3 linked regions of the Caenorhabditis elegans genome follow. The protein of the gene in region 3 purifies or fractionates together with the protein of the main gene of each other region. This does not show direct contact. Each region holds a gene or a part of one and is shown on either strand. Other genes may lie near its edges.

Region 1 (10,864 bases), on a different chromosome or scaffold from region 3:
CATGCAAATGTCCTTTCTCTTCGAAACGCCATCTACAATTGGACTGATCCAATTGGCGCAAAAATTCAGAGAACGGCAGTCAACTGTGGTGACTGTTTATGGGAAATTTAACAATTAAAAAAATATTGAAATTCACTGGTTTGTTTTTCCAGCAGTGTTAATAGCACAAAAAAAGAAAGAAGATACCGTGGGTCATTTAGTTAAATTAGAGAAAAAAAAAGAAATACAGTTTCAAAACTTATCCGTGTTTTAAACTCAGAATACCAAATCCTTTCTAAGTTTTTCATAATTTTGCAATCAGTTAAATTAAGTATAATTCATAGTTTTTACATTGAATATTTTCAGGAGGTACTGATTATGAAGATTTAAATATATTTTTCATTAGCTCCAGTATTTTTCAAAGCATTACTGCAATTCTTCCAACCTGGTTTCTCATCAAACAACTTGGAATAATAACGTACCACTTCTGGCTGCCAAATGCAATGCACTATTTCCCATTTCATCTTTCATCAACAAAAGTCGAATATCCCATTCAAGTAGTTGTCTTACTGTAAATTTCCAACATTCATTTCTATGAAAAGAAAATATTTCCGACCTGCTCCAGTTTGACCCCCAATTGCAGCTCTGTGCAATGCAGTCTCCTCATCTTCGTTCACTTGAGTAATTGATGCTCCGTGTTTTTGGAGCAACTGGAATTGAATTACAGTTAAGTTAAACTAGTTGGGAAAATTTCTGAAATTGAGATAATTTTCGATCAACTCACCTGCATCATTTCCAAATATCCATTTGAAGCAACAATATGCATTGGAGTGTTTTGATCTCGATCTACCATATTGACCATAGTCCTCCTCACGTCTTCAGACACAATCCGAAGTGTATTTCGAGTAGGTGACTTTAAAGCACTTCTTTCAGTCTCTTTATTTTTTTTTCTAAGGTGGTCCAAAATGTATTCAACAGAAGAAAGAGCATTGAACTTGGCTCCAATGAATACTGGGGTACGTTCATCTTTATCCGTGATTGTCAAGTTTGCTTTTTTTGCAATCAGGTACTCAACACACTTTTTACTATCATGAGTGACTGCCATCATCAAGGGAGTCAAGCCTTGTTCATCGACTACATCAATATTATCCTTTTCCTCTTCTATTAAATAGCTTACAACTTCCAATTGATTCATTTGAGCAGCAACGTGAAGTGGCACTGCTTTAACTTCATTCAGTTCATTCTTGTTTCCTCCAGCTTCCACTAATGCTTTTAAAACTTCTAAAAATCCCTTTTCAGCGGCAAAATGGATCAATTCCTTCTCCCTATCCATCCATTTACATGAATTTTTCTTTTCCATCTGCAGAATCTTTTTCAAAGTTTCCGGATGATTTCCTTCTACAGCCATTCTCAAAGGTGTCTTCTTTTCATTATTAAATAAATTTAATGCCTTGATTGCTTCAACTGGATCATGATCCATCATCATCTCTAAGTATTCCGGCTCACCCCGCAATGCAACAATATGAAATACTGTGTTGAGTCGTTGATCTCTTTTCGTAACATTACTATTTGCTTTAATAAGCTCTTGAATTATTTCTTGGCTTCCATGAACACAGGCTAATAGAAGAGGTGTCATTTTGTTATCATCTTCCGCATCCACATCTGCTTTCAGTTTTATGAGAGCGTGTAGAGCAGAAAAGTTGGATTTCATGGCTGCATAGTGAAGAGGAGTCAATTGGTACTTATTCACAGGATCGATTTCACTTAAATTTTAGCCGTTTTTTTTCAATAATATTTTTTAATTTAAAATTTCAAACATAAACTCCGATTCACATTCAGGAATCTTATTGGGTTTTTCTAGCAATCTAGAGATTGATTTTCATAAAAAAAGGTTTTGAATAAGGACATTAAATAAGCGGACTTATTTATGATTTTTGTCTATGAGAAAATGTCACTAGTATCCTAATTTTGAATTGATATTAGATTTTTTAAGGAAAAAATTCCGAACATAAAACTCGAAAATGAGAAGTGTTTGGTCCTAATTTTAAAATGTTAAAGATTTATTATAACTGCTCACAAAATATTGGATGAGGTTAGAAATGCTCCAAAATAATATAATAAGATGAGTACTTTTGCCAAATTTTGAGCTCAATTTTTGGAAAGGAAAATGTCCACAAAAAAACTTAAGCAGAGCATTGATATTTGTATTTAAAAATTTTAAATGTAAACTCCGCCACAAATTGGGTTTCCCCAGGAGTTCCATCTCATTTTTCAAATGAAATCAGATAATCATCAAAGTCACAAGTATAAAGTTGAAACTCACGCATTTTCAGAAACTAAGGCATTTATGATCTTCTTGGTTGCAGTATTGTACTTTCTCGCGGAATCAGCTTGATCCTCATCTATAATTGAGCAAATATCACTGTATCCATAGATATACTTGGAAGCAATATGCAACGGAGTGTCGCCTTCTCGATTTTTTGTATTAGGTAGAGCATTTTTAGAAAGTAATAGTTTAACTGCATCATAGTTTCCGTATCTCGCTGCATAGTGAAGCGGTGTCATAAAATCACCATCTTGGGCGTTCACTGCCAATGGAGCTTTCAGCAGAGCTTCTTGAAGAGCGTTTACATTTCCTTCTCGAGCACTTTGATGGATTATTGAACGAAGATTGTCTGCTTCAGTGCGAGCATCTAGTTCAGCGACTCGAAAGATTGAAGCTTGACGACCATCTTCTGAATGATTTGTTTTTTTTTCATACATGAAAACTCTAGTTTTTGAATTGAAAATGTGTTGATTAGGACTCTAAATTGGCGAACTGATAACTGTTATCAGAGTGTTTTAAACCAAAAATAACACGAAAGTTCTTAAACTTCATTTGTGGAACTTTAGTATCTGAAAGAAAAACTCCGTATAAAATTGTTTACCTAACTATGTGCCAAATTACTTTTAGTACATGACGGAGAAATTCCAAAGTCTCGAAATCTATTTTTTCTGAAACAAGAACAAAAGCCAAATTTTAAAAATTTTCGTCTAGTTTTCGAGATGATTTTTACTTGAGTTGAGTTGAATGTTTTTAACCCAGCTCAGGCATAAGGTAGGCACGTAGACCTGAATGCGTTAATTAATACAAACAACATATTTTTCCATCAAAATGTGTATTCAGATTACTTACTCTCAGATCTGATTGTATCATCATTTGAAATCAATCCTTCCAATTCCAGCCGAACATCAAGCCCTAATGATTTCTTCGACATTTGATTTTATGTTTTCTGAAATTGAAATCAATTTTGAAACCCCTAAAGATCTTTAAAATGGGATAATCTTTTTTGAAAAAATCTAAATCTGGATAAAACACTAAAAATAAGATTTAAGAAGGAAATATACACAGGAAAAGAGAGCCGAGAGGTTGTTGCTGTCTGGTCGTTTCCGTAGTGACCGGAAAATTGGTGGAGTATGGAGGAAAAAGAAAGGCAATCAAAGATTCATATTGGGGAAGAAAAAGCAGAAGGTGGTACGGATAAGACTGGATTTGAAATTTGAAAAATAGGCCAAAGAACTTCTTAATCATGTTTTTTTTGGGGTTTGCGAAATTTAAATTTCGAAGATAGTTTACTTCAGAGTTCAACTCTTATCAATAGTTTTCAAGAATGATAACTTGCAACAATTAGGTGCGGAAGACCTTGTAATAGTTATTATTAGAATATTAGGTCATCCTGTAAATTATGAAAATAAATGAAAACTGACTTTTTAGCATATTTTAGCATATTTCTTAAATTTCAGCAAGTTAATAAGAAATAGGCAAATCTAAACTATGGAAACACGAAACACAGACATTCATGGCAAAGTTCTGAAAACAGGCAGTAGGCAGGTAGGCCTGTCTCGTCCGGCTACAGTCGTACCTGTCTAGGAAAGAAGTCATACACAAGAGAATAAGAAGGAGACGTAATATGACCGTTTCGTAGAATCTATATTTCAGAATTCACCTAGACTGCAACCACGCCCTAATGCAAACTTCCAAAACTACCAAATACGAAAATCAATGAAAAGAAAATAGGTGAAATCTGTACAAACGTGGAAGTATGCAAATAAATCCAAAACAGTCGAAAGGCAAAAATGTGAGTCACTCATTCTCTCCTCTCTTCTCTCACTCTGTTTCACCTTTCAATACAACAAATTGGTAAATAGAATGAATTTAGATGAGACCGTAGACGAAAAAGGAAAAGTGCGAATATAATATGTAACCCCTAGTATAGGACAAGTAAGCAAAAAGAAAAAAGGAATGTAAGTTCAAAGGTGGAATTGGTATGGTATGGAATCCAAAAAGAGACGAAATAAAAAGAATGCAGACGGGAAAAAGAGAAAGAGCAAACAGTGGCATTTGATCTTTAAGTGGTATTTTGTTCGAAAAACTATTTGATTTTGAAAAAAAAACTTCTTATTTCGATTCTATCGAGTAGGATCTACTATGGCGATCAATAAGTTCTTTTTCGCATTTTCTCAGTGTTCATAATTTTTCAAATATTTTCTATTACGGGAACAAACATCTATGAGAATGCGTACAGAATGCGTACAGGCAACATGTTTGACGCGCAAAATATCTCGTAGCGAAAACTACGGTAATTCTTTTAATGAACAGTAGTCACTTGAAGAGTTACTGTAGTTTTCGCTACAAGATATTTTGCGCGTCAAGTATGTTGCACAATACGCATTTTCAGAATTTGGTGTTTTCGTGATACAAAATATAATAAATAGAAATATAAATTTTGAAATCTCGCTAATTATTTTGGGGTTTCTGCAGAATTGTGGCTAATGTTTTCAACTTTATCCAAGAAAAATTATTCGTATTTAGTTGTATCCACTTTCAGAAAAAAAATGTTTTTTTGGAAAGTTTTGGTTTCTTCTGAAAGGGACTTTTACATAGATAGTTGAAAAGGATGAAAACTGAGAAAACACGGAAAACTTATTGCTCACCCTATTACAAGTGGACAAACAATAAATATTCTTTGAAATCCTTTTGCTGGAAAATGTTCTAACTTATTTGAGAAAGTACTCAAACTAAAAACCTTATCTACATGTAGCCGAAAAGTTTTTTTTTTTGATAATTTGAAAGACCGGATAACAATTAATTTAATGAACATCTCTCAACAATTCGTCACACAAAAAGAAAAGAAACTAGAGAATTTTTGAAGTTTTCCCAAACTGATACCATATCATGAACGTCAGAAGCTTATGATTTATAATCCAGTCTTTTTGTGTATTAATCCTAAAAGCACCTATTTTAAACTCATAAACACGTATAGTTCAAAATTTAAAGCAAATTTATTAGAGTTTTACACATCTGAGGAGAAGGGGAATCACAGAATTGGGAATATTATTAACAACAGATTATTTAGCTAAACGATATGAGATTCTCGATGATTTCCCGTAATGGTTCAGTTTCTTCCTTGTTGAGAAGTTGGAATTGATTGGCGAATAGAACGAACTGTTTGAACGATGTGTTCAGGTGTGCCAAGGCCTTGATAGCTTTGAAGTGATTGACATGGGCAAAATAGACGTGAGCATAGATTCTGAACAGTCTCCTCATAATTGCTTGACAACGTTCCTCAAAGTCCGTGGGGAATTGTTTTCCGATTTCCGATGGGAACACGTTTTCGTCGTCGACATTGTTTTGGCATGCAGTGAGCGATAGATCAATGTATTGAGGAGCACTTGTGTTCAGTCTGAGATAGATTTTTTTTTTTTGGAACATGAAGATTAATGTGAGAATGGTTTTTTTGCGTTTTTACGAAAACAAAATTAATTTTCCTTCTTTTTTAAAGATGGAGTAGTGCACTAGTGAACGTGGTTTTTTTTCTCTTAATGACAAAAAATGTTTTTCCAGAATTTTTACAGATTTTCCAATTTTGTAACAAAAAAAAAATTAGAAAGGCATGTGTTTAGTTTTCGAGTTTCAACATTTCGGTGTTTCCCAGAAAACAATTAATTGGTTTTTTCTTCATTTTTCAATTTAAATTTTTTTCTGCTTGTGAGGAAAACTGTGACAAACCATGTTAAAAACAATCCAAAAATAAAGAAAAGCCGAATTAATATAGTCAGAAAGCACAAAAACGAAATTTGAACGGGAATTATAAAGTAATTCGGCTCTTTATTATGGGAGCACAAAATTTTGAGAATGCGTATTGCGCAACATATTTGACGCGCAAAATATCTCGTAGCGAAAACTACAGTAATTCTATAGATAACTACTGTAGCGCATGTGTCGATTTACGGGCTCGATTGTTGAAATAAATTTTTTTGTCCTCGTTTCTTCGTATTATTTTCTCATTTTTGTATAATTTTAATATTCTATCGATAACTAAATTCTTTATTTCGAAAATCACAGGCGCTACAGTAGTCATTCAAAGAATTACTGTAGTTTTCGCTACGAGATATTTTGCGCGTCAAATATGTTGCTTCAAAGTCATAGAATTTGAGAAAAAGTGCACTATATATATTTTTTGCTGCAAAATTGAAAAAAAAAACCGAGCAAATTTTAAACAATTATATACGTTTTACAGTTAGATTATGTATACTGAAACGGTTTTCTGCAATTTTAAGAATTTTCAAAATATTGAATTTTGATAACCAAGAATTACGGAAAAACTTAGAAAAGCTTACAATGTTCCTTCACTGGTCCAAGTATATTGTCTTCCATGTGCTGTCATCGATGGACACTTTGAATCGGTACATTCGGATTCGCAGAGAACTCCGAAAACCATTCGAACTTGATTTACCAGATCGATTACTGAAAAAATGCGCTTTTTTTTTGGAATTTTTCAAAAATAAAATTAAAAAAGAAAACTTATAGAAACTGTATGTTTCCGCTTTTTTAAAGGGAGAACCAAAATTGAGAAATAGTCTCGCCGCGCGTCAGTGTTTATTTGTTTTCGTGTACGCGCCTTTAAGATTACTGTAGGAAATTTATCCAATTTTTTGTATTTTTTGAGAAAATTGGATCAACTCGAAAAAAATCACAATTAGCAGTTTTTGTTTTATTATAAATTATTTTTTGTTTTATTACAAATTATTATTACCAAGCTGTGCAAAAAAATGTCAAAGTTTTTTTTAGCAAAAACTTACTATTTACGGCGAGCCATTCATTTTTATCTTCCCCTGGTGGAAGTTTCAGAGCGTCACGAAGATTTCCACTTCCTAACGTTGAAACTGCCATTGGATTGCACCATGATGAACTTGGTTCACTCATTTTCTGGAACCAAAATAATTCGATTTAAAGTTTTTTCTTTCACCAAGACAAGTATTGTTTTATGCTTTCTACATTGCAATCGAAAATTCAAAACTTTGATGTGGACACAGTTTATTGATCATTGATGATAAACAAAATGTTGATGGGGCAAAAATAATATTATAATTAAACAAAATGGGGGAATAAAATAGTGGAAAAGGGAGAGATGTTGTCCATTCGCATTTTGTGATAATAATCATAAGAAACAAGGAAGACGGGAAGTGGTGAAAAGGATGGGATGGAGGGGAAAATAGTGTAAGAATATGGAAGGAAAAGAAAAAGAGTAAAGAAATGTTGGAAGCGAACGCCGTACAGCGCGTGCGCGGAGAAGATCGCAACTTTTCTCACACGGGGATGACTGAAAAGAATATTGATTGCTTCATTGAGTGAAGGAAGAGAACCGAGTGCTAAGGTTGACACGAGATGTCGGAGATATTTTTTCAGTAATGGCTAATGATTCCGCCAAACTCTTCCCACCACATTAATTTACATGAACAATGAAATTTTCATCCCTATCATCGCATCATTTGAGAAGAGAAGCACGGTTTGATCGCCTAAATTTTGGTAGAGGACAAGAGAATGGAACAAAAAAGATAGATGAAGAACACAACAATCATTTCGAGCAACTTCAGAAGAGATGGGATTGTCAAATAGGATGGTGTTGGGCAACGATACAAAAACAACGATATTCTATATAATGACTGAAACGATGAAAAAGAGGAAAAGTGAGAGAAAGTATTGAAATTAATTGGGTAAGGGGGATAATACGGAAAAAAAAGAAAATGAAAACGGCGATTTGAACGGAGGTATCTATCTACAGGAAGTAGTCAGGCGTTCTGCGAGTAACATGTGGTTCTCCTCTTCGAGGGGCAGGGTCGAATTGCAAGAACGAATATTTGAGATCGTCGTCCAGCTCCACCATCGCTGCCTGATTTCCACAACGATAGCAGTAGTTTGGTGCTGAGAACACTGTTACCACGTTACGATCGTGACTCCAGTTGTATCCCTAAACATATTTATATCATTGCAAAATTATATCGATTTGAAATAATTTCTCACCTCCATGACAAGTTGATGGGCCCGAGAAATTAGAGTAAGTCCATTGGAATGGTTGAACGTCTCCGAGATATCCTGACCGAATGTGTATCCTGCTCCACGTGGAGAGATTCCCCAGCCACCTCTGTCATCTGGATCAGACCAGAGAAGATCGCACATTGGTCCTTCGTGTGGAACCTTTAAAAATATATGATTTTCGGTGATGAAAATGTTAGAACTTTTCTATTATTGAAATATTTCAGGCTAGTAACTATTAAAGGTAGATTTCCACAATAACTTACCTCTTGAATGCGGTCAAGAGCTCTGATGTGATCAAGAGTATCAATAGACGGTGAAAGACCTCCGTGAAGGCAGAAGATTTGACCATCAACAAGAGCGGTAAGTGGGAAACAGTCGAAGAGATCAGTGAAGTACTTCCACACATTCGAGTTTCCATATTTCCTCAAACACTCGTCATAGAACCCGTAGACCTAACAAGAAAATAATAATTTTTGAAATAAATTGATTTTAATTACCTGAGTGATTTGTCGCGACTCGTGATTTCCGCGGAGCAGTGTTACTCGATCCTTGTATCGAATCTGAATTTTTAAAGATGTTATAATAATTTCCATACTATATTGTGATAACTGTACCTTCAAACAGACAAGCAGACTAACTGTTTCGACGGAATAATACCCCCGGTCGACGTAGTCTCCCATGAAAAGGTAATTCGTGTCAGGACTCTTTCCACCCATTTTGAACAGCTCCATCAGATCGTGGAATTGACCGTGAACGTCACCACACACTGTCACAGGGCACCGGACTTCTTGCACATTCGGCTCTTTTTCCAAGATCTCTTTCGCCTTAAAAAAATTAATTTTTGACAATCACAAAACTGTATCAACAAACCTTTTCGCATAACGTTTTGACTTGATTCTCCGATAGTGGTTTACATTCGTATAACTGCTCAATCCACTGATCTACATCGACGATTAGTGCTTTATCAAGCGGATCCGCAGATGGTGGGGCAGCAGCCATACTACTGAAAACTTATTTGTTGGTCAAGAAATTAGAAGTATAAAAAAGTTTGAATGATAAGAACGCATAGAGAAAGAAGAAAGACAACGTGGGCAGCTATAGCAACGGAGCACGAGTCGGAGAAAGCGTGAAGAGCAGAAACTCACGCTGTTGCCTCACAGTCAATACTTTTCAGCGGATTCTTCTTTCCGTATAAACTGATAGGATTGCAAGACAAAAGGGATTAAGTGCCCCTTGCTCCAACAGCATCTTATAACGAAAAAGAAAACGTCACAATTGGAGGAGAGACAGTTAATGAAATGATGTAAAGCACAAGTTTTAAAAAAGACGGAAAATCAATCGTGAACAGGTTAAGAAAAGAAAACAAGAACATAGAAATAAAATGTGTAGTTTTTATGGATTATTTTTCAATGTTACTAAATGCCAGACCGGATTAGTTACTAGTGTCAAAAAGTGTCCATTCTCAATTTTAGACGAAGAAGTGAAAGATGAACAACAATCACGCGCTGAAAAATATTCATAGGAAAAAGAGGAAATCGATAACTCGCTGTTTGCGTTTCTACCTCCCACCAAACCATACGGAATTTCATTCCGTTCCGATAAGGCAAAGAACAAATGTTGTTAATTATGTTTCACAATAGGGGTCAATCTATGTTCTAACGAGAATTAAAATATTTTAATTGTTAGGCAAACGTTGATACGGTAAAAAACCTAATTATGTAACTGAAACTCTTCAAATGAAAAAAAAAATCATAAAACTGTGTTTTTTTTGCCTTATTTTCGGTGAATCATAATCAATATTCAATGGGCAAAAGCCAATTGTAATGGGAACACGTGAGAACGGAATAAATGAATTTAACATTAGTGGAAGACATCAAAATGATAGAGAACGCGGGATGATCGAGTACGACAAAATTGTTGTTTTGTGAGGAGAGCGAGGCGGAGAAAGCAGGGCTGCAGAGAGATGCGGGGCCCGCCAATTGGGCAGTGACGGAGGATCAGACGACAGATAGCGAAGGAGCAGCGGCACTCCTGTGCTATAACCAGCCGAGGAACCAATCGCATTGCGAAAGTGACGGAGAAAGAGATGAAAAAGAAAAGATATAAGGCAGAGGAAAGAGCGACCGCATCGCAAGGGCTCGCGTCGCGGTTCACTGCGCTCTACTGAACACCCTCACTGTCTGTTGTTAACAAGACGGAGAGAAGTGAAGAAGTCCTCTTCCTGAACCGATGTTTTCGTTTATTGGCGTTATCGCTGAAGGCGACAACGACGACAGCAGAGGCGTTGTGTGCAGAAAGGAGGTGTGAAAAGGCGAGGATTTAGAGCTCTGGTGACGTGCTAGGGACGGCCAAGTTATGATAGAGGGGCGTACTGAAAAAAATGTTCGAGGTAGAATATTTCTAGAAAAATACATTTCATAACCCAGCAGAATCATGATGACTCATTTATGCGAAATTTCAGAAAAAACGGTATGTTTTAGAAGATGAAACTATCGATTGGCAACTAACGAAGGTTAATGATGTCCG
Region 2 (11,324 bases), 5.6 Mb from region 3:
TTTCAGGTAATTTTCTTTCCTTTAAAAAATTCAAATTATATAAAAAATTGCCTACTTTCAGTGACACCATTCTGGAGACTTCCATCGTAAAACACGTTGCTCGGGAACTCTGAGAGCACTGGATGCATACGGTATTGCACCTGAAAAATGGGTTTAAAATTAGAATTTCATGGAATTTTCTACTGAAATCCTCGGAAAAATTTCTGGAAAAACTGATCTTTCCAATATTTTAGAAAAGTTTTTTGATTAGAAAAAAAATTAAAAATACCAACATTTTCATTTAAAAAACTGAAAAACAGCTACATTTTGTAGCCAAACTTTGTCAAAAATTCGAGAAAAAACCGATTTTTTTTGCATTTTTTAAATCTCAAAATTTCACGAAATTGGATTTTATAGCATATGCAGCGGTTTTCTTGAAAATGTCACTTAAAGGCGGACTACACCCTGTGGGGAAATTGCTTTAAAACGTGCCTATGGGGCCATAATGACCGAATATCATGATAAAAAAATTTTTAAAAGTTTTCTAAATTTTTGATTTTTTGAAAATTGAAAAAATCTCAGTTTTTGCCTAATTCCTATTTGAATTACCGCCAATTGGATTTGTTCGATGGAGCGCGCTTGCACGTTTTTAAATTTATTTATTTTATTTTTTGTTATTTTCCACCGATTTTCAATGTATTCGGTGTATTTTTGCTTGAATTTTAGAGAAAAAGTCAAAATAAATGCAAATTTTCGATTAAAAAACGCGATCGCAGGTGTAAAAAATGAAAAAGTAACGCTTTTAAACGATTTCGAACCTGAATTAACTAATCTCACTGATTTACGCCTGTAAGCATGCTTTTTAATCGAAAATTTGCTTTTTTTTTTACTTTTTCTCTAAAATTCAAGCAAAAATACACTGAAAACATTAAAAATCGGTGGAAAATAACAACAAAAAAAATTAATTAATGAAGATAATGCAAGCGCGCTCGATCGAACAAATCCAATTGGCGGTAATTCAAATTGGAATTAGGCAAAAACTGAGATTTTTTCAATTTTTAAAAAATCATATAAAATTTAGAAAAACATTTTAAATTTTTTTATCATGATATTCGGTCATTGTGACCTTATAGGCATGTTTTAAAGCAGTTTCCCCACTGGCGCTACTCCACCTTTAATTACAAAGTAAATTTTGGTTCGATTTTTTTAATCTCGTAGAAAACTTGTAAACTTTCTGAAAATATCTGAACCTTCATAAAATTCAAACAAAATTTTTCAAAAATTAGAGTCCGAGTTGTAGAAAATCGATTTTTTAAAGGTTCAGTGATAATTTTCAGTAAGTTCAATTTAAAATGCCGAATTTCAGTAGTTTTTTCCCGAAAATGACCCAACCTGAAGCCGGAACGGTCGAATACCGAGAAGCACAAGTCTCTCGAACAAAGATTGGCTCAATCCGGCAATCGCCGCCTTTTTACATATAACAACCGGTCCCAGTTGACAGTGATCTCCAACTAAAACCAATTGCCTGACTCCTCTCATAATAGAGACCAAAATCTCGGGCTCTGTCGCCTGTGTGCTCTCATCAATGAGCACAGTTCTCGTACGGATCTTCGACAATCTCGCATCAGCCGCCGATGAGCACGTACAACAGATGACGTCAGCGGCGGCGAGAAGCTCATGCTCTTTGACTCTTTTCAATTGCATATATCTCAAATCATCCTTAAACTCGAGCTCCCCGGCTTCATCTTTCAACTGAATCAGCTTCTGAAGCTCCGCACCGCCCATCACTTTTAGCTGATGTTGAAGCGTCAAGTAGGGTACTGTAGTCTCACTGTGCTCTCGAGATCTCGCACAAAGCCTCACAACCTTCAATCCCGTCTTGTGAATCTTCTCGGCCAAGTGATCGACGGCGATGTTGCTCGGCGAGCACACGAGCACGTTTCCCTCGGTTTTCTGCACCAAATGATAGACGATTGTCGCCGAAACTACGGTTTTTCCAGTTCCCGGAGGTCCTTGAATCAAGCTTAAAGGTCGGGTGAGCACCTGCTTCACTGCCTGCATCTGGGAGCTATTAAGCTCGGGGAGTCCAGCGACAGATAGCCGACGCGGTAGATCAAACTTGAGCATCATTTCCTCGGCTGGATGACCCAGAAGCTTCTGGTAGAGATATGGAGATATTGCTTTGGAGTCGTTGAGCAGCGCCGCAAGAGCCTTGTACTGTCGCTCGAAGGTGGTGGCGTTCCAGACGACGTCGACGGTGAACATAATCCGACTCTCCATCACTGATTTGTCGACAGCTCCGCGGATTTCGATGCCTACCTCGTCGCCGTGGTCTGCAAATTTGTAAACGTGAAATTTTTTGGAGCTTTTTGTGCAATTTTTCTTGAAATTCACAGAAAAACCACTCGAAAATGGCCAGAAACGATGGAATTTGTGATTTTTTTGTTGTAAATTTGCAATTTTCAGATGATTTTTGAGCTCTTTGCCCAATTTTTCGTGCTAATTTCAAGAAAAATCGATCCAAAAGCGGGAAAAAAAATTTTTCCGAAGAATTTAAAGTTAAAAAAGCTCAAAAAAAAATTGATTTTGGTCATTTTCGAGTAGTTTTTCTTGTAATTTTCAAGAAAAAACCGACCGAAATTTTTTTTTTTGCAGATTTTTGGTGATGTAAATTGTACTTTCCCATAATTTCAACGATTTTCCAGAAGCTCAAAAGGTTAGAAATTTAGTTTATACTATTACGGGAACACAAAATTCTGAAAATGCGTATTACACAACATATTTGACGCGCAAAATATCTCGTAGCGAAAACTACAGTAATTCTTTAAATGACTACTGTAGCGTCGATTTACGGGCTCGATTTTCACTTTTTCGTTCGTGTGAAAATGAAAATCAAGCGCGTCGTAAATCGACCTACAGTAGTCATTTAAAGAATTACTGTAGTTTTCGCTACGAGATATTTTGCGCGTCAAATATGTTGTGTAATACGCATTTTCAGAATTTTGTGTTCCCGTAATAGTATAAACTAAATATCTAACCTTTTCAGCTTCTGGAAAATCGTTGAAATTACTGGAAAATACAATTTATATCAGGAAAAATCTCCAAAAAAAAAATTTTGGACAGTTATTTCTTGAAAATTCCAAGAAAAACTACTCAAAATTTTTATTTTTATTTTTCCCATCCCTTACTATCAGGAATCTTGAAAACACTTCCAATCTTGGTCCATTCCGATCCATCAACCGTCTGAGAATGTTTCAATCGAAGTTCATCGCCTTTCGCAAGCTTCATGACACCATCAGCAAATTGTGGAAGATGAAAGAACGCGAGAACCGATTGACGAAGTCCTTGTTCCCATCTAACAGTTCCGACTGCTTGTGATGCTGATTCTTTAACTCTTCGATCATATTCTGCTTCAATTGCAACTAATGGACGGAACACTTTCGAATAGTGATGAGCATCCACATATCTTAATTGAACATGATCCGGTTCTCGATCGAGTCCCGGTTTATTTAAATCGTCAACGGTTGCTTCTGGGTGATCACGCCAGAGCTCTTCCATTCGGACTGCTTGGGTAGCACTGGAAAATTTAGTTTTTCATATATATATATATATATATATAGCTATTTAAAAGTACTATACCACTTGTGTTTTTCCGGCTTTTTGCACCAATGCCGGTAGAAATTGAGAATTTTTTGCACGAAAATTCGAAAAAAAATTCAATTTTCAATTTCTTTTGGAAACTGGGAATAGATTTTTTATCAACAAAAAAATCGAAGCTATAGAAATATTAAAGGTGGTGTAGTCGAATTTTTTAAAATTGCTTTATTCAACTCAGAAAACACCGAATTTCATAGTGAAACTTCTCAAAAAACAAGTTATGACGGTTCAAAAAATGGCCTAAAATTAGTTAAAATTTGAAATTTGACCGACTTGTAAAGCGGCTGGAAACTATTTTTTTTTTGTAACCACCGTCAAATTTTGAGTATACAATTTAATTATCTTGCGTTTTCAACTCGATTTAGGTATTTTAAAGTCGATGGACGGCGAGATTTAGTTAAAAATTGTTAAAATTCGATCGCTCGGAAATTGCATTTTTGGTTGGAAATTCCTTTAATTATTATTTTAAAATTTTTCTCAAAAATCGATTTTCCTCCACTAACGTGATTTTCCTAGCTCTGGCCACCTGCTCCTCGCTGGGCACATTAACAATCCACGATAGCAGCTGTTTTTCAGCGATTACAGATTTCCAGTCCTCGGGCGACCAATTATCATCATTCTGGAATGCAATACTGGCGCACGGTGTTCTACAGATTATCACGACGACTTGATCCTTTTTTCCGGGGATGAAGCCGAGATTAAACACGTTTTTCGAACCACAACGATAGCATTCCAATTGAGTGTCACCACACGGTGAATCCTTATGCGTGTAGGCTTCCTTATGCTGACTCCGAACCATATGATGAACAATATGCCCGCCCGACGTTCCATCATTGGAATTACAGAACCATTTCCTGCAGACTGTGCATTTGGCGACACACAGAGGATCAGAGATTCCACAATAGCGACACGCGTGCTCCGGCAGCTTCTGCTGCTGCTGCTCTTCTGTCAGTGATTTTTCACTGTCCGACTCGTCGTCTTCCACGTCGTGAAATGGCAAATCGTTGGTGGTTCCATCGGTTCCTCCTGGCAGCAGATCTGTCGCCTGGAATATGGGTTTTTTTTTGTTGAGAATTTTGAAAAATTGACAAAAAAAATTGATTTTAAGGGACTTTTCTATGATTTTCTTGGTTTTTTTCCACTGAAATTTCCACTTTCAGAGGATTTTGAATAAAAATTTATTTAAAATTAAGATCTGTCGCCTGGAATAGGTGTTTTTTTTTGAGAGTCGAATTTTTAAAATTGCTTTGGAATTTTCTTGGAATTTTTTGTACGCTTTTGGGTCGATTTTCTTGAAATTAGCACGAAAAATTGTGGGCAAAGTGCTCAAAAATCATCTGAAAATTGCGATAAACAAAAATATTGGAAAAAAAAATCACAATTTCCAAGATTCCTGACAGTAAGGAATGAGAAAAATTCTTTTTAAAACAAGTTTTTGGTGATATAAATTATCTTTTCCAGAGCAAGCTCAACGTTAAGAAAGGTTAGAAAATTAGATTATACTATTACGGGAACACAAAATTCTAAGAATGCGTATTACACAACATATTTGACGCGCAAAATATCTCGTAGCGAAAACTACAGTAATTCTTTAAATGACTACTGTAGTGTCGATTTACGGAATCTCGATTTTGGCGAAGGAAAAATGAAAATCGAGCCCGTAAATCGACCTACAGTAGTCATTTAAAGAATTACTGTAGTTTTCGCTACGAGATATTTTGCGCGTCAAATATGTTGTGCAATACGCATTCTCAGAATTTTGTGTTCCCGTAATAGTATAATCTAATTTTCTAACCTTTTTTAACGTTGAGCTTCTAGAAAATCGTTGATATTGTTGGAAAAGATAATTTATATCACAAAACATCTCCAAAAAAAATTGGACGGTTTGTTTTCTTGAAAATTACAAGAAAAACTAATCGAAAATGGCCAAATTCAAAAAATTTTGCAATTTTTGCACAAAAATCTAATTTTTTCGAGCTTTTGGATCGATTTTTCTTGAAATTTGCACGAAAAATTGATTGGGCAAAGTGGGCAAAAAAGCATCTGAAAATTGCAAATTGACGGGATTATACTCATTTTCGAACAAAAATTGAAAATAAAAATCACAAATTCCATCGGTTTTGTCCATTTTCGAGTGGTTTTTTTTTCATGATTTTCATCGTTTTTTTCAGTGTGTAAAGTCTATCAATTCAAAGGATTTTGAATACAAATTTCTCTGAAAAATCATGTGAAAAACTTGATTTTTCAGCAAAATCCAGAATTTTCCTTCGATTTTTTGACACAAATGCGGCAATTTTCTACCTGAGAACTCTGCGTAGGCACACTAAACTGCTCATAGGCGAACTGAGAGTCCTGCGTGTTCCCAATAGAGACTCCATCGTCCTCGGGATCCACAAATGTGAGGGTTTCCCCGTGGCTTCTCGAATATTCGTCGTCCGAATCGTCCATTACTGGAAGAAAAGTGCGTTTTTGAGGGGTTTTGGAATGAGAAATCGATAGCATTCATGAGAAATTTGTCGGTATTCGAGTAAAATAGGTGAAAAAAGTACAAAAAAGCATTTTTCAAATTGCAAAATCTAACAATGAGCAATATTTCGTAATTTTTTACCACTTTTACACTTATTTTTGCAGATTTTTCATGTAAAAATTCAACATTTTTGCCGAAAATTGGCGGAAAACCTTCGAAAATGAGAACTGTGTTAATTTAATCACAAAGCGGGTGCATTTTTGGAAATTTCAACAATTAAAATTGAAAATTTTCAATTTCCGCTCACTTTTTATCGGAAAAAGGTAAAAATGCCTAAAATTTGAGCTCAAATTTGAAAAACAAACTGAAAAATCCCCCCAACTTTTAAAATGAGCAATATTTCATCATTTTAGATGATTTTAAGCGAAAATTGTGTGATTTTTAACAATTTAACCATGAAAATGCATATTTTTTCAACATTTTCATACAAAAAATGAGGTTTTGTTAGAAAAAATTGCGAAAAACGGTCGAAAAATGAAAAAATATGATAAAAACACCTCATTGCAAGGTGGGCGCACGGTTTTTGCAAGTGTGCCGCACGGAGTTTATGTTTTCTCGATTATTATTTTTCTTGGAAAATCGGAAAAAATCGCTGATAAGAACTGATTTTTATTGATTTGTATTGATTTTTCCTGGTTTTTAATGTCAATTCTATCTAAACTATCCCAAATATCCATCAAAAGCGCCGTGCAAAGCAGCAAACACTGGTAAGATCTGCAAAAATCTGCTGATTTTCCATTTTTCCATATATTTTCCCGTTTTTTGCAGCTTTTCCAGCTATCCATGGCTTCACAAACCGATTTCAAGGACAACAATACTCAAAACATGGCGAATTTGTGGGTTTGGAGCCGGTTTAGGAGCTGTAACCCTACGAAAAGCGGCATGTGCTCCGAAATTGAGCAAACGCATCGACCATTTGAGGACGACGGAGGATCAGAATGCGTCAATGACGGCCGGAGAGCTGTGGAATTTGATTAAACCCTTTTTCGGCTGGTTTTTCGCTGCAGTTGTGGTGAATTTTTCGATAAAAATCCGGTTGAAAACTGGGAAAAATCGAGAAAAATACGTATTTTTATAGTTAACTTACAAAAAATTGTGCAATTTTCACCTAAAATCTTGCTTTTTAATTTTATTTCAGGTTTCCTGTCAATTTTCCAGCAAAAAAACTTTAATTTCCGCATTAATTCGTATGAAATCAATGAAATTTCATAGTTAAATTGGAAAATGGCAACATTTTTGCTTAAAATTTGTAAAAAATCATGTTTTTTGGGCATTTTTGGTGATTTTCTTTCGATTTTTATGATTTTTCGGCGGTTTTTACCCAATTTCATTAGAAAAAATTGAAAAAATCTCAGTTTTCCCCTAATTCCTATTTGAATTTCCGCCAATTGAACTTGTTCGGTGGAGCGCGCTTGCATTATTTTTTTTATCATTATTTCATTGATTTTCTTCATTTTTAGGGGTTTTTGATCGGAATATGAACGAAATAAACAAGAAAAATGCAAAATGTTTATGAAAAAGTGACTAAAAATACCTAAAACTCCATGAATAATACAAATTTCAGGCTCGTCGTCCTCAGAACTCAAAAAATCACAGTTTTACGCATTTTCAGTTACTTTTTAACAAACATTTTGTATTTTTCTTGCTTTTTCAGTTCTTTTTTCCGATAAAAATGCACAAATAATGAAGAAAATCAGTGAAATAATAAAAAATAATTTTAAAAAATTAATGAAAATAATGCAAGTGCGCTCCAACGAACGAATCCAATTGGCGGAAATTCAATTAGGAATTAGGCAAAAACTGAGATTTTTTCAATTTTTTCTAATGAAATTGGGTGAAAACCGCCGAAATATCATAAAAATCGAAAGAAAATCACCAAAAATGCCCAAAAAACATGATTTTTTACAAATTTTAAGCAAAAATGTTGCCATTTTCCAATTTAACTATGAAATTTCATTGATTTCATACGAATTAATGATATTCGGTCATTATGGCCTCATAGGCATGTTTTAAAGCAATTTTCCCACAGAGTGGAGTCCACATTTAAAGAAAAAATTGGCTAAAAGTCGGTTTTGTCCGGATAAATTACAAAAAATTACAAAATTTTTGTTTTAAATCTCGGAATTTGAAGTTTTTCAGTTATTTTGGGGGGCTAAAAATTTTAATTTCTACATTAAATTGTACGAAAATCTTGTAATTTTTTCGGAATTTCACCAGAAAAAATTTTAAAAACAAAAAAATTTTAATTTTAGTCAATTTTTCCTTAAAAAATTGAGAAAAATTATCAGTTTTTTTTGCAGTGCGCCATCCTCTCAGCCTACATCAACATTCAAATTCCACTATGCCTGGGCGATTTGGTGAACGGAATCGTGAAAATCATCAAGGACGAGTCGAACAATTTACGATCTCATTTTGAACAGCTCAAGCCATCTGCTCTGCACTTAATGACACTATATGTTGCACAATCTGCTCTCACATTTCTTTATATCACATTTTTAACGGTTCTCGGAGAACGAATGGCGACGAAAATGCGGTCGGACTTGTTTCAGAAGCTATTGCACCATGATATGGCATTTTTTGATTCTCATGTAAGAGCGTGGGTGGCCGCGGTGAAATTTTGGTGGCCTAGTTTTTTAAATTCCGATTTTTTCGGTTTTTTTCAGTAAAAAAAATCTTTTTGAAAACTCGACATTTTTAATTTTTTGCAATTTAAAGATGGATTGACTCCAAAATTTCCCCTGATCCCCGAAAAAAAAATTGTCCCAAAAAATTTTTTTTTTTCAAATATTTGTTTTAGTTTTTGATTAATTTTCAGTATTTTTCTGCTTTAACTTTTTGAAAAATTAATTAGGGAAAACTCTAAAATGTTTGATTTTTGAATTTGATTTTTTTGGCAGTTTTCAGATAAAAAAACAGGATTTCCTTTTTTTCAATTTTAACTTTTTTAGAACAAAAATACAGGGTCTCGACACGACAATTTTTCGGTATAAATCAATCTGCGCCTTTAAAGAGGGTACTACTGTATTTTCGAGCTTTTCCTTTCTGCGAATTTTTTTCCCGAAATCGTGGGAAAAAAATAATTTTTACAACTACAGTAACCTTTAAAGGCGCACATCTTTCTGTATTTATAAGGAATTGTCGGAACCCAGAAATCCGTGTAATGTCTGAAAAAAAAATTGTCCCAAAAAAAATTTTTTTTTCAATTATTTGTTTTAGTTTTTGATTAATTTTCAGTATTTTTCTGCGTTAACTTTTTGAAAAATTAATTAGGGAAAACTCTAAAATTTTCTATTTTTCGTGTTTAATTTTCTCTAATTTTCAAAAATAAAATCAAAATTTAAAAAATTTACTCTAAAAAATTCTGAAAAAAACTTTAAATTTAATTTTTCTGCATAGTTTTCTTGTTTCCACTATTTTTATTTTTCAAATATTTTTAAACAAATTGAGTTACAGAAAAAAAAAATTTAATTTGTGAAAAAACTTTACAAAAATTTTTTTTTTAGAAAAATAGAAAAATTTCTTTTGAAAATTTTCTTTTGAAAATTTAATTTTTTTTGAAAATTTTTAAAGAGCTTCAGAAAAAAAATTATTAACTTTTTGTACAGTTTTATAGCTTTCATAATCATTTTTAAAGGTGGAGTACCGAAATCTATTAAATATTTTTAACTGACTCCAAATTTTCCCCTAATTCCGAATATCTATGTGAAAAAATCAAAAAAAAATTTCCCTGATTTTATATGCACGCTTGAAATCGCTTGTTCCGGCATCACTTTTTTCAAATTCGCGCCCAAAGAAATTCGCATTGGAGCGCGCTTTGATTTTCTTCATTTATAAATATTTATTTTATTTATTTTTCGCCGAATTCAGTGTTTTTAAAACTAGTTTCATTCATTTTAGTCGAGTTTTTATCGGTTTTTTTCGACAAAAATAAATGCAACTGATTTTGAAAAACTGAATTCGGCGAAAAATAAATGAAATATTTAAATGAAGAAAATTTAAAAAAAAAGCGCTCCAATGCGAATTTCTTTGGGCGCGAATTTGAAAAAAAGCGATTCCGGAACAAGCGATTTCAAGCTTAAATATAAAATTAGGGGAATTTTTTTTTGGATTTTTTCACATAGATATTCGGAATTAGGGGAAAATTTGGAATCTATTAAATATATTTTCCAAATTTCAGTACTCCACCTTTAAAAATGATTATGAAAGCTAGAAAACTGTACAAAAAGTTAATAATTTTTTTTCTGAAGCTCTTTAAAAATTTTCAAAAAAAATCGAAATTTTTTTCTGTAACTCAATTTATTTAAAAATATTTGAAAAATAAAAATAGTGGAAACAAGAAAACTATGCAGAAAAATTAAATTTAAAGTTTTTTTCAGAATTTTTTAGAGTAAATTTTTTAAATTTTGATTTTATTTTTGAAAATTAGAGAAAATTAAACACGAAAAATTGAAAATTTTAGAGTTTTCCCTAATTAATTTTTCAAAAAGTTAAAGCAGAAAAATACTGAAAATTAATCAAAAACTAAAACAAATATTTGAAAACAAAAAAAAATTTTTTGGGACATTATTTTTTTTTTAGGCATTACACGGATTTCTGGGTTCCGACAATTCCTTATAAATACAGAAAGATGTGCGCCTTTAAAGGTTACTGTAGTTGTAAAAATTATTTTTTTCCCACGATTTTGGGAAAAAAATTCGCAGAAAGGAAAAGCTCGAAAATACAGTACCCTCAAGGCGCAGATTGATTTATACCGAAAAATTGTCGTGTCGAGACCCTGTATTTTTGTTCTAAAAAAGTTAAAATTGAAAAAAAGGAAATCCTGTTTTTTTTATCTGAAAACTGCCAAAAAAATCAAATTTTGAAAAAAACTTCCTTTTTTTCTCGTAGTTTTAACTTTCACGGATTTCTGGGTTCGCTCATAAATTGAAATGGAAGAGTTTTCGCCAAACTAGGCCATTTTGGCTCGGCCATATCTGGGGTAGATTTACGGCGCGTTGCGTGTCGCGTCGCGGCTCGATTTTAGTTGTAAAACTAAATGTATTTGTCCGTGTAGAGTACACGACTTTCCCAGGCGATTGTCAATGGAGCGCGAAAAATGCAATGAGAAATGTCAGGAGCCCGTGAAAAAAAAACAATTTTTTTTGCTAAATATAGCAAAATT
Region 3 (11,383 bases):
TTACCTTTCCGGAGATGACAATCCAACACGATTGATCAGCATCTTCCCAGTTGTGCTTTGAGACCTCATCGAGAGAAATGACACGTAGCTCCGACATAATTGATGAACCCTGAAACAAAAAATGGTCTCTAAGTCGTTGAAAATTATTCAAAAGTGATATATTTCGGTTGAAAACCAGAAACTTTAGTATAAATTGAAAAAAAAAACATAAGGAAATCAAATAATTTATGCAGAAAATACTAAGAATTACCCTACAATCTCATGAAAAGGCACATTGAACATCGGAAGAAAATAATTCAATTATAAAACAATTTTGAAACACCCATGAAAATGAAGTCAACCTGAAAAAATAACAAAAATCTTGGGAATATAATTATTTCGTTTTTTCTCTGTGATCAGCTCCAATTGCTTCCGAAACATGCGAAAATCCATCTTTCCGTAAAAGTTCGACAAGTTCTCGTTTGATTTTTCCGATTACCGGAAATCCTTCATAGACGAACGCGGAATAGAGTTGGACCAGACTAGCACCGGCTCTGAAATTTTACATTTAGTTAAATAAATTGAAATTAATACTTTGATTGAATAACGGTGGACTATACGGCCTGTGGGAAAATCAATAAAACCATTCTTACCATATATTGTACTCAAATGGTCAAATATTATAATTCAATTTTTATTTTGAGTCAAAAGGCGTTGAAAACTGTGTTTTTACTTTTCGAAAAATCTATATCACTGTATCATGTTTAAACCTTTAAAATGTTGAAATATGCATATTTTACATAATTAGAACATAAAACTGGAGAATAACATTTTTTTGATCGTCGATTTCCAAAGAAAAATAGGGGAAAACCGATTTTTCACTGCTTTTTGAAACGAAACAAAAAATGTTTCAAATTTTTTTTGAAAAGTTTTATAATAATATTTGGTCATTTTAGCAAGATAGGAATGGTTTTTGATAATTTCCCCACTCGACCTCGAACTGGGAAGTTCACTTACCTAATCTTTTCATATGCATCTGCTCCACTGAACACTCCTCCACAGCCGATAATTGGAATTTGTCCGTTTGTGAGTCTGAAATTAAACTATCAATGCGAACAAAATTAAACCAATTTTTTTTGTTGAAAAATTATCGATTTGAAAAATGATGAAAACTTAACTTACCATATTTGCGCAGTAAAACGAATCAAACTAAATACGCCGCCTGGTTTTCCCAGTGTAACCGGGGTGACAAGTGGCCAAAGAAAACGAAATAACAAGGGGACATGCGGTAAAAATGATGACAATTGTCTATAGTCTAGCCAAGAAGGTTCAACGTTGTGATTTTTTGGTGTTTGGGTTCTTTGATTTATGTTAAAATTTCATAAAGGTTCTAGATTTTCGATTATACACACGCAAAATGGCCGAATTACATAAAGAGACTGCTCAAAAAACAAATTAAAAATTGAACAATTTAATTTTAGCTACAATCTCAAATTTGCTAACTTCACCAAGTCACAGCTTCGGGAGATTATTTGTTCTCAAATTACTAGCTGATTTTGCTCGTTCTAGCTAATTATTAAGTTGTTTTTTGTTGATTTAAATTACTTATACATTTTTTTTCAAACGGGAACCAAACTCGGTTAATTATGTACTGGAAATATAACTAAAGCCACACGGAAAAAATGGAAAATTATCTAATTTCAGTTTTCTCTTCGAAATTTTTGAACGAAACAATGTTCTGATATTTATATCGTATTTGAGTACACGGCGTGTAAATTGGTACCTCTGGCCTAGAAAAAAGCTTGAAAAACAAATGTACGCAATTATGAAAATGCGGTTGGTGTTTGCGGACTTGACTACCATAGTCCACATAAATTTTAGCAATTAATACTTCCCGGTTTCGTTTTATATGAAAATATCCTTGAACTCAAGCAAAAAATGCATTATCTTTTTGGAAAAGAATAAAAGAAACACTAAAATTACATTAAATTCAAATACAAAAAAATATGAACTACGCAGAAAACGAAACAAGGCAGTTTGAAGCTGCATTAAAGAACAGCGCTTTTCAGTGTAAACTTGTGACGGTGGGTATACATTTTATGTACTTAAATTGTTCAAAAACCTTCATTTAGTCAATTGGTGAAGTTTCAAAACCTTTGTGAATCTAGTTTTTGAAAAAATTTCAAATTGGTGCCAATTTCACTGATTTTTTGTGAATTTCCAAGCTAAAATTGAAAAATTCAATGTGAACTTGTGACGGTGGGTATGGTTTTTATGCACATAATTTGTTTGAAATACTCTACCGAGTTAACTGGTGAAGTTTCAAAAACTTTATGGGCCTAGTTTTTGAAAAAAGTTCAAAAATGGGCCATTTTTGTCGATTTTAGTGGTTTTCGGAGCTAAAATAGAAAAATTCAATAGGAACTTGTGACGGTGGGTATGAATTTTTTGCACACAATTTGATTAAAGTAGTCTACTGAGTAATCTGGTGAAATTTCAGAAAATTTGTGGATCTAGTTTTTGAAAAAAGTTCAAAAATGTGCCACTTTTGACGTATTTTCCTAATAATTGCCTAATAAATCGAATTTCCACTTTTATTTAGGAAAATAATCGTTGTTATATGTGATTTATTCATTTTAAAAACAATTTTGTATATATTTTTGTAGTTTTATCCATTATAATGTCTCATTCATCGAATTTCAATGATATTAAAAATTTAAATTCAAATTTCGCGCGCTTTGCAGCGGCCATGGCCTAGGATTCTCACTTTTCAATTTTCGCTAGGCCACATGTCCCAATTTACACGCCGTGAGTAGTTATAAAACTCACTTGTATATTTTTCTGACACATTCCGTACTAATTTCTCTAACCGGCGCTCCGCTCAATCCTCCTGTTTCCGTTTTATTCTCTGATCTGAGATAGTCGGGTCGTGCAATTGTGGTATTCGATACAATAATTCCATCGATCGCAAACTTTTTATTCGTCACAACTTGTGCAATGTCTTTTAATTCTGATTCAATTAGATCCGGAGCAATTTTCAGAAAAACTTGAGGCTGCTTTTCCAGCTTGTGCATTTCAAGCGCTTGGTGTACATAGGCCAACAGCTTCTCCAAATCACTTTTCTTTTGCATACTTCTGAGCCCAGGAGTGTTAGGTGATGATACATTGAGAACCAGATAATCACAATGTGGAGCAAAGTAGTTGACACCAATTTCATAATCCAATCTACAAGAACTGAAATTTAAACGTTTTTGCCTTTTTAACTGACTTTGCGTCTTCCGTAAGTTTATTCTTTCCCAAATTGACTCCAAAATATGCATAACTCTCTGGAACCCATGAATCTCTGGCACTTCGTACTCTTTGATGAACTCTTCCAACTCCATCACTATTAAATCCATATCGATTGATAACTCCTTCATCTTCCAATAACCTAAACACGCGTGGTCTATTATTTCCTGGTTGTGGTATTGGTGTTACAGATCCAATTTCAATGAGTCCAAATCCAGAATTCTTGGCCAATTGTGTAATTGCTTGTCCATCTTTATCAAATCCAGCAGCTAACCCGATAGGATTCTTGAATTCTCGTCCAAAAAGCTCACATTTCAGTTCAGGATATTCTTTTCGATTCCATCCGAAACGTGGCAAAAGTCCCCACGAAGCAGCTCGAACCGCCCATCGATGTGAATCTTCTCCATCGACAAATTTGTGTACCATTGGCATTACTGCCTTTTTGTAGAACGTTTCCGAACCATATAGAAGTTCAAGTGCTGTGTAACTGGCAATTCCTGTCGCGAGTACAATTACTGTCGACTTGCTTATTGCACCAGGTGGAAGTTTGGAGTAGATGTATTTTTGTTCGGCATTTTGACTCATTCTTCAGTAGAAATTCAGGATGATTTATTCAAATCAGCAACAAATTTCTCCAGCTGAAAAAAAAAAATTAAAATGATCAATGTGGCTGAGTTTTCTTTTGGAAGTTTTCACTTTTATAAGTAGAAATACAGGTAAAGTATCTTAAAGTTAAAAAAAAAACTTGCCTGCTCTGAAGTGAAATCCAAAACTTGTGTCTCGCCGTCTTCGTAATGGAGTACAAGTTGAAAGAATGGTTGAAAGAGACTGGGAGAAGAGTCGCAGCTAGCAGACGCCTAAATTATTTGGAAATTTGAATTGATAAGCTCGATAACTAATGGTTGAAGGTTATCTTAGATAACAGGGGAATCTAGTACAAAGTATAATAAACTATTTAAATCAAAATGAAATGTTAAAGAGTAGTGTCGTTTTATTTTAAATTACTTTGAAAAAGTTAAGTTGGGAAATGAAAGATTGGCAGAATCTACATTTTTATGAAAGTTTAGGGCAAAAAAATGGCATGAGAACATCTGAAATGTTTGCAGCATGGTGTCTTGGCGGTGGTTGATGATGATAAAAGTGACAAAAAAGATAAGATGCGATGATGAAGTGTCGAGAGAAGAAATGAATGAAAATCGACGCGATAGATCAGAAATCACATTTTGCTTAAACTGCCGAATTTGTTTTTGAACAAATACAACGTTTTTGAAATGAATATTTTCTTTTTTATTCAGTTTATGTCACCTCAATTTTCATTTTGTGCAACTTTTACACGAAAACTTTTTTTTAAAACTTACTCGAATACTGTAGTCGTATGATTTAAGTTTCTTCTTGATAGTTTGATGGTTTTCCGCTCCTAATGACATACAATCTGAAACTTTAAGAATTTAAAATAAGAAATACTATTTAGTTTGAAGATAAAGAAACAAGTGATTTTTAGACATGAGAACAATTTTAATTTCAAGAGGTTTTTCTTTTTTATTGGAAAAATTAATAATTATACAGTTTTTGCGTATATACTTACAACAAATATTATACAGCTATGGAAACAGATTTTTAGCAAATGAAAACACTTGAAAACACAAGATTTATGTCCAATTTTGAACTAAAACGCTGAAATTTAATTCTAAAATCTTTCGAAACACATTTTTTAATTGAATTTTAAGAGAAAATATTTAGAAAATTGGAGAAAAAACATTATATTTCAATAAAAACTGAAGAAAATAAAGAGAAAAATGAACTGAATTGTGGGCGTGGCCAATTTGCAACATAGTGCGCAGTTTCTTCTTGATTTTTTTTTCGCAGTCGTTATTTTGTTTTCCTCTTCCTTTTATATTCAATAACTATTATTATAATTATCCGGTTATCCATCTGTCTTTAATTTATTTTTTTCAGAATATAAATATGCAAAAGTCAGATGAAGTCACTGAAAAGTTCAAACGATATTGTAATCAACTGGAAAAATACGGCCAAACTGAAAATGTGCATTCTCCAGTGATGGCGATGTTGCGCAGAAAGTATGTTTTATTCTGTAACAAAAACTTAAAATACAACAGCTTGAGTCAGAAACTATGAAATTAATAAACGATCTTTAAGTTTAAAATTTAAAGAATTACAATTTTCAGAGGCCGAAAACAGCTCATTGAGATTATGAAACGCGACGGGGACTGTACAAGTTCAATCAATAAATTGTGGATTGTTGGATATTATCACCCTTTCCAGTTTTTTATTCGAGTAAGATTAACTTTTAGTCATTGTATTATTTTTATTTGATTTCCAAAGGTTCTTATTACAGGATAAGGAGAAAAACATGGCAATAGCCGTGTTGCTGACAATGTTCTGTGGAGAGCTTCAAGAAATGCTTTCGCTTCCCGATGACAAATACCCAGCATTGTGGAACATGTACATTGGAGATTTTCATCGTTATATGCCAGACGAAGAAATTCAGAAATGCTTGGCAGTTGGATATTATTCAAGAGCAATCGATCTAGATCCGAATCAAGGAAGAGCTTTCCACGTTCTCGCTGGTCTCCGAGCTGACCTGAATGTTGCACAGAAGCTGAGACTGATGATTTTAGGACAGCTCGCCGATGCTCCATATAAAAAAGGCACTGAACTCTTGGAATATTTGAAATTTCCACAAAAAGAATCCACTGATAAATTGATGGTAGATTTTGTCATTTGGGCATTGAACGAGAAATCAAAACGAATGGATTATCAGATGACTGGAATCAAAATAGTAAACGAGTTTAAAGCAGAAATCGAACAGAAACTCGAATTCGATTGGTCTCTGATCATGTCAACGTGTCGTTTAGCATCTAAATTGGCAATGAAGAAATTTGGATGTAAGTACCGATTCCAATATCTATAGAAAATTCTTATTCTGCTGTAGGATAACATAATTTTTTCAGTTCAACAATTCTACAATTGCTTCGACACAATTTCAACGCTGTATATTACAATTTATTCACGTACGATTTCATCCAAATGCCTTCTAGCTGAAGCTATCTCATGGATTTCCGATTCAGCCGAAATACTCGGACACTTGGATGAGCAGAAAAATGAGCCACATTTCCAGAAGCTATCGGTTTTCGCCAAAACGGTAAGATTTAGAGATAAGAAAATGTAGAATAGATGTTTCAATTTTAAAATCAAGGGGAATTAATTATAAATATAACTTATTTTCAGAAATGGAACGAGCTCAACGACTTGGTTATGAATCATATCAATTCCGTATTCACATCCATGTCACTCACAATCAATCCATCTATTTCTATGACCAGCTTTCTGCTGAATGGTCCAATATCCGAACCCAATGTTGAATTTTTGAGTCAATTAATCAATTATCTGGTTTCCGTCGAATTCCCACCAATGGAGATAATCCACGATAGAGAAGAATCGGGTCCATTGCTACGACGAATTAATCAATCGGAACAAAAACGTTTGGATATTCAAATAAAGACACAAAATGATGAAGTTAACCGGGAGGATTGGAGACCTGTTTATGTATTGATGGATTATGACGTCATAGTTGACAAAATAAGAATTGCTCTAAAAATTTGGGATATCGATGATTTCATCTGCATTTTGCCATCAACAGTGCTTGATGAACTTGATTATCAGAAAACGAAGAATCGAGCAGTTCGTCCAGTAATTCGGGCATTAATGGAGCTTCAAGCAGAGGGAAAAATTGTGCTAAAGAAATGTGATAACGAGAGAAGCTGCGCGGAGCAATTGGTTCAAAGTGCACGAAGATCTGCAGAAGATCACAAGCATATTGTCGCTTTTCTGTGCAAAAACCCGAGTGAACAGAAAGAAATGGAAGGAGTTACTTTTTACGATATCGATCAGTTCTACATGAAGTATTTGGAGTGATGAAAAGAAAGGGCTCTACACTGAAAAATCTCACGATGGCTGGAATTGGAACCGCTTAAAATCATTGAGATCATATTCTTCGGATTTATTTTTGATTTATTTTACTGGATTCAATTATTTGACAATTTTTTGGTAATAAAATTTTCTAATTAACTCTTTTCAAATCATTTCACAATAGTATTAAATTAATAGTAGTACTATGTTCCATTTCGTTCAAATTGAAAATTCCAAGAGCACTCCCACGTATCTAAACAATTATGAATTCTTTTGCCACCCCCGTAAACCATTTAGAAAATTGCATTTTCATTTCACAATCATACCTTTTCGATTCCTATCAGCCTACTATAAATTGATTTTCATGAAGTAAGTAACATTTTCAATTTTTATGCTCCGCAAATCGAAGCTACACATTCCCTGACTGTGAGTATTCTAGAGTACTGTAAGTCTACTATTTTGCTAAACGTGCGAAAACTTCCAGATACCGAATTAGTTCCAGAACATTCACCCTCACTAAAAACTCTAAAATCACCTTAATTTGAATGTTCCTCTGTGTCCCGTCAGACAGTGTCTAGGGCCGATTCTCAGTCAGATAAATAGCGCTCTTCTTTTAGAAACAGGGTGAGAGGAGATTGTATCACTCTCATATCGAGGTCATTCAAATGAAAAGAGGTATACTTTTGTTGATTGAAATACATTTGTGTAAAGTTGAGATGTTTCGATTTGAAAACTTGAGAAAAAAATCTGGTTTTGTTTACTAATTGCGGCTTTTACAGTTTACCATTTACTGCTGTATTGTCTCGTCATGCCACTTAGACACCCAATTTTCAATTGAAGTAGAAATTATATTTCCTTCTTTTTCCAAATCTCACTAAGATTATATCAACTACGAAATCGATACAAAATATCTACATACAAACTGTTTTTCTGGTGAATTCTACCTTACTCCACTCATCTTTCCAAATTTTCAGTGAATGTTATCATATTTCTAAAACTAGGTATGGGAAAACTGAAAATGTGCCCTGAAAAGCAGTGGTCCCCCAATATTTTTTTAAATTAATGTTGGTTTTCGCAACGTCATAGTTGTCAAATAAGTCGGTTTCAAAACTTGAACAAACATTTTCGATTGACTCACACATAAACGGACACAGTAAAGTCAGAGAAAAGTCACAATTTTGATTTTTTTTTGTTTTTTGTATAACAAATACTGTATAAACACTCAAATATTTAAAAGCTTCTTGCGAAAAATTCCCGCATTTATAGTAGATCAATCCGTTATGGTACATCTTGACATATAGTTCTGGAAAATATTTTTTTAATCGAAAACCTACATTGGCCATCGTTTAACCTTGTTGCCCGCCATCTCTTCCACGTTAAAAGTAGCGTTTTGGTGTTATGCTCAATTAAAAAAATGTCAAAAATTGTAAAAAAAAAAACGAGATCGCATTGTATCTACTTTTGAACGACACTATATGTCAAAAGTTTAAAAAGTACTATTAATCGTGATTCACCATGTACATACTACACTCCATCTTAGTGTATTCCATGTTATCAGTTCAAAACCGTCCAAAAATTGACCAACTTGTCCATCACCCAATACAACGTGGCAGCAGTTTCAGTACACTCCCCCTTGTGTCCTATTTACTATATATACGTTTTTCTGGTTTTCACTCATCTAAACCACTTTCTCCTGCTTTTTGTATTAATATTCCTTATTGCAATGCATTACATTTTTTATTTTTGTCATTAGAAACTATAAATTTAATAATACGAATCCAAAAGAATCATAGGCAATTTTCTAAAAGCAGAAATAAATCATCCAGAATTTCTTAATACTTATTCGTTTTTCATTTAATTCCCTTTATTATTATTCTGGTACTTCTTTATCAAAATTGTAAATTTCCAAATTTTCAGAATGTCTGCTGAACAATTTGTGGGTCGTTGGAAGCTTGTCGAATCCGAGAATTTCGAGGATTACCTGAAAGAAGTTGGGGTTGGTCTTCTTCTTCGTAAAGCCGCGTGTGCTGCAAAACCAACTTTAGAGATCAAAGTGAATGGAAACAAGTGGCATGTCAATCAACTTAGCACCTTCAAGAACACCACATTGGAGTTCACTCTGGGAGTGGTAAGTGAAATTTTGAAAAAAGGAAACGAGAATAGAACTCAACAACTATATGGCTTTTTCGTTAGTTATTTTCTTTCCCATTTAAAAACTTTCAAATGCCTTTCTCGAAACTCTAGCAAACACTGATAAGACTCAAACTAGTGGGTCAAAGTGCAGGAAGGTACACGTGGTTTTCAGTGTAAACAAAAAAATGAGAATAAAGAACAACTGAACTTTGTATCCATTTGAACACTACACACAACAAACGGGTGTTCTATTAACATAGATACACTTTGTGGCATGAAGAAATAATCTAATGTTTATGTCTTTCAGAATAGGTCTATGGAAAATTCAATTGCGAACTCTAAACGAACATTTGAAATCAAAAAAAGAATCATATTAAATCTAACAAAATATTTTTTTTTCGAATTAGTTACGATCTTTAAATGTGTCGGCTACATGAAAAACAACTCCCGGTTTTCATTCCATTAAAGTTCAGTTTTTAAATTGACTGTTATAATTTACCATTTAAAAAAATAGTGTTTTTTAGGAATTCGACGAGACAACACCAGACGGTCGTCAATTCAAGTCAACCATCACAATTGAAGATGGAAAAGTAGTTCATGTTCAAAAAAGGATTAAGGATTCAGATCATGATTCTGTAATCACTCGTTGGTTTGAAGGAGAAAAGCTCATCACAACTCTCCAATCTGGATCAGTTATCTCTCGTCGTGCCTATATTCGTGAATAGATTATTTTGAATATTGTTCTTGTTTTGTTCGGTCTTTGATGCAATAAATAGCGAAAAATAGTGTTTTTGTTTACGCAGAGTGACGTTTTAAAGGACCAGAAACCCTTTTCTTTTCTCTGTCTCTGTTAAAAAAGGCCTTGTTTATTTTCCGTAAAATTTTTCATTAGTTTCAACAATTTTTAAAGAAACACTTTTGTTTTAGATTTTTCTTTTTTTTTAAATTAATTTTATTCTTTATATTGATTAGACTTTCATGACCAAAATTTTGAGAAGAGTCTAGTGAGCTCCTTCCTACTCGCATTTGAAGAAAGTTTTATTATCAGCATTCAGGAAATATAATCTCTGAAAAAAAACATTCCAGAAGGACAAAATGACCACAAAGGAAGGATTTGATTATCGAAAGTTTCTTGTTGATCTCGCCTCCGGAGGCACTGCTGCAGCAATCTCAAAAACTGCCGTTGCTCCAATTGAACGTGTAAAGCTTCTACTTCAAGTCAGTGATGTCTCTGAAACAGTAACTGCCGATAAAAAATATAAAGGAATTATGGATGTTCTTGCTAGAGTGCCAAAAGAACAAGGATATGCAGCATTTTGGAGAGGAAACCTTGCAAATGTGCTTCGATATTTTCCAACGCAAGCGCTGAATTTTGCATTCAAAGACACTTATAAGAAGATGTTTCAAGAAGGAATTGACAAGAATAAAGAATTCTGGAAATTCTTTGCTGGAAATCTCGCTTCTGGTGGAGCAGCTGGTGCAACATCTCTATGCTTCGTGTACCCACTGGATTTTGTGCGTACTCGTCTTGGAGCCGATGTTGGAAAAGGAGTGGATAGAGAGTTTCAAGGTCTAACGGATTGTTTTGTGAAAATTGTGAAATCAGATGGACCAATTGGTCTTTATAGAGGATTTTTTGTTTCAGTACAAGGAATTATAATTTATCGTGCAGCATATTTCGGAATGTTTGATACTGCCAAAACATTGTACTCAACTGACGGGCAAAAACTCAATTTCTTTACGACATGGGCAATTGCTCAAGTTGGAACAGTTGGTTCTGGATATTTATCATATCCATGGGATACAGTACGTCGTCGAATGATGATGCAATCAGGGAGAAAGGATATTCTCTATAAAAACACTTTGGATTGTGTTAGAAAGATTGTGAAGAATGAAGGAATTACTGCATTATACAAAGGAGGTCTTTCAAATGTATTCCGAGCAACTGGAGGTGCTCTTGTGCTCACAATTTATGATGAGATTCAACATTTAATTTAATTACAGAATTAAAGTATGTATATGTTAATTTTGAAACAACATTGCCAATAAATTT

What was found.
Region 1: the proteins of smg-5 (region 3) and let-92 purify together in Caenorhabditis elegans (affinity purification with western blotting, with the first as the bait; one study listed by BioGRID). This does not show direct contact.
Region 2: the proteins of smg-5 (region 3) and smg-2 purify together in Caenorhabditis elegans (affinity purification with western blotting, with the first as the bait; one study listed by BioGRID). This does not show direct contact.

Annotation. Positions count from the first base shown.
Region 1 is NC_003282.8:11,856,919-11,867,782, reverse strand, and holds let-92 (Serine/threonine-protein phosphatase 2A catalytic subunit), read right to left. Parts: upstream 9,342-10,864; 5' UTR 9,338-9,341; coding exon 9,209-9,337; intron 9,163-9,208; coding exon 8,953-9,162; intron 8,899-8,952; coding exon 8,836-8,898; intron 8,791-8,835; coding exon 8,602-8,790; intron 8,498-8,601; coding exon 8,324-8,497; intron 8,271-8,323; coding exon 8,079-8,270; 3' UTR 7,323-8,078; downstream 1-7,322. Other genes in the region: trpa-1 (Transient receptor potential cation channel subfamily A member 1 homolog), read right to left, coding at 462-548, 596-689, 764-1,742, 2,303-2,714, 3,155-3,236; mob-1 (Mob1/phocein), read right to left, coding at 5,372-5,702, 6,640-6,766, 7,102-7,225.
Region 2 is NC_003279.8:1,171,235-1,182,558, reverse strand, and holds the start of smg-2 (Regulator of nonsense transcripts 1), read right to left. Parts: upstream 6,087-11,324; 5' UTR 6,085-6,086; coding exon 5,938-6,084; intron 4,682-5,937; coding exon 4,140-4,681; intron 3,557-4,139; coding exon 3,168-3,556; intron 2,313-3,167; coding exon 1,372-2,312; intron 141-1,371; coding exon 56-140; intron 1-55. Other genes in the region: haf-6 (Mitochondrial potassium channel ATP-binding subunit), read left to right, coding at 6,806-6,870, 6,932-7,175, 8,464-8,751. UniProt on the Caenorhabditis elegans protein: RNA-dependent helicase required for nonsense-mediated decay (NMD) of aberrant mRNAs containing premature stop codons and modulates the expression level of normal mRNAs.
Region 3 is NC_003279.8:6,730,002-6,741,384, reverse strand, and holds smg-5 (PIN domain-containing protein), read left to right. Parts: upstream 1-5,223; 5' UTR 5,224-5,232; coding exon 5,233-5,345; intron 5,346-5,453; coding exon 5,454-5,562; intron 5,563-5,623; coding exon 5,624-6,173; intron 6,174-6,239; coding exon 6,240-6,430; intron 6,431-6,516; coding exon 6,517-7,203; 3' UTR 7,204-7,356; downstream 7,357-11,383. Other genes in the region: cytb-5.2 (Cytochrome b5 heme-binding domain-containing protein), read right to left, coding at 5-97; dhod-1 (Dihydroorotate dehydrogenase (quinone), mitochondrial), read right to left, coding at 374-533, 997-1,071, 2,809-3,204, 3,248-3,852; lbp-5 (Fatty acid-binding protein homolog 5), read left to right, coding at 9,116-9,325, 9,855-10,055; ant-1.2 (ADP/ATP translocase), read left to right, coding at 10,426-11,328.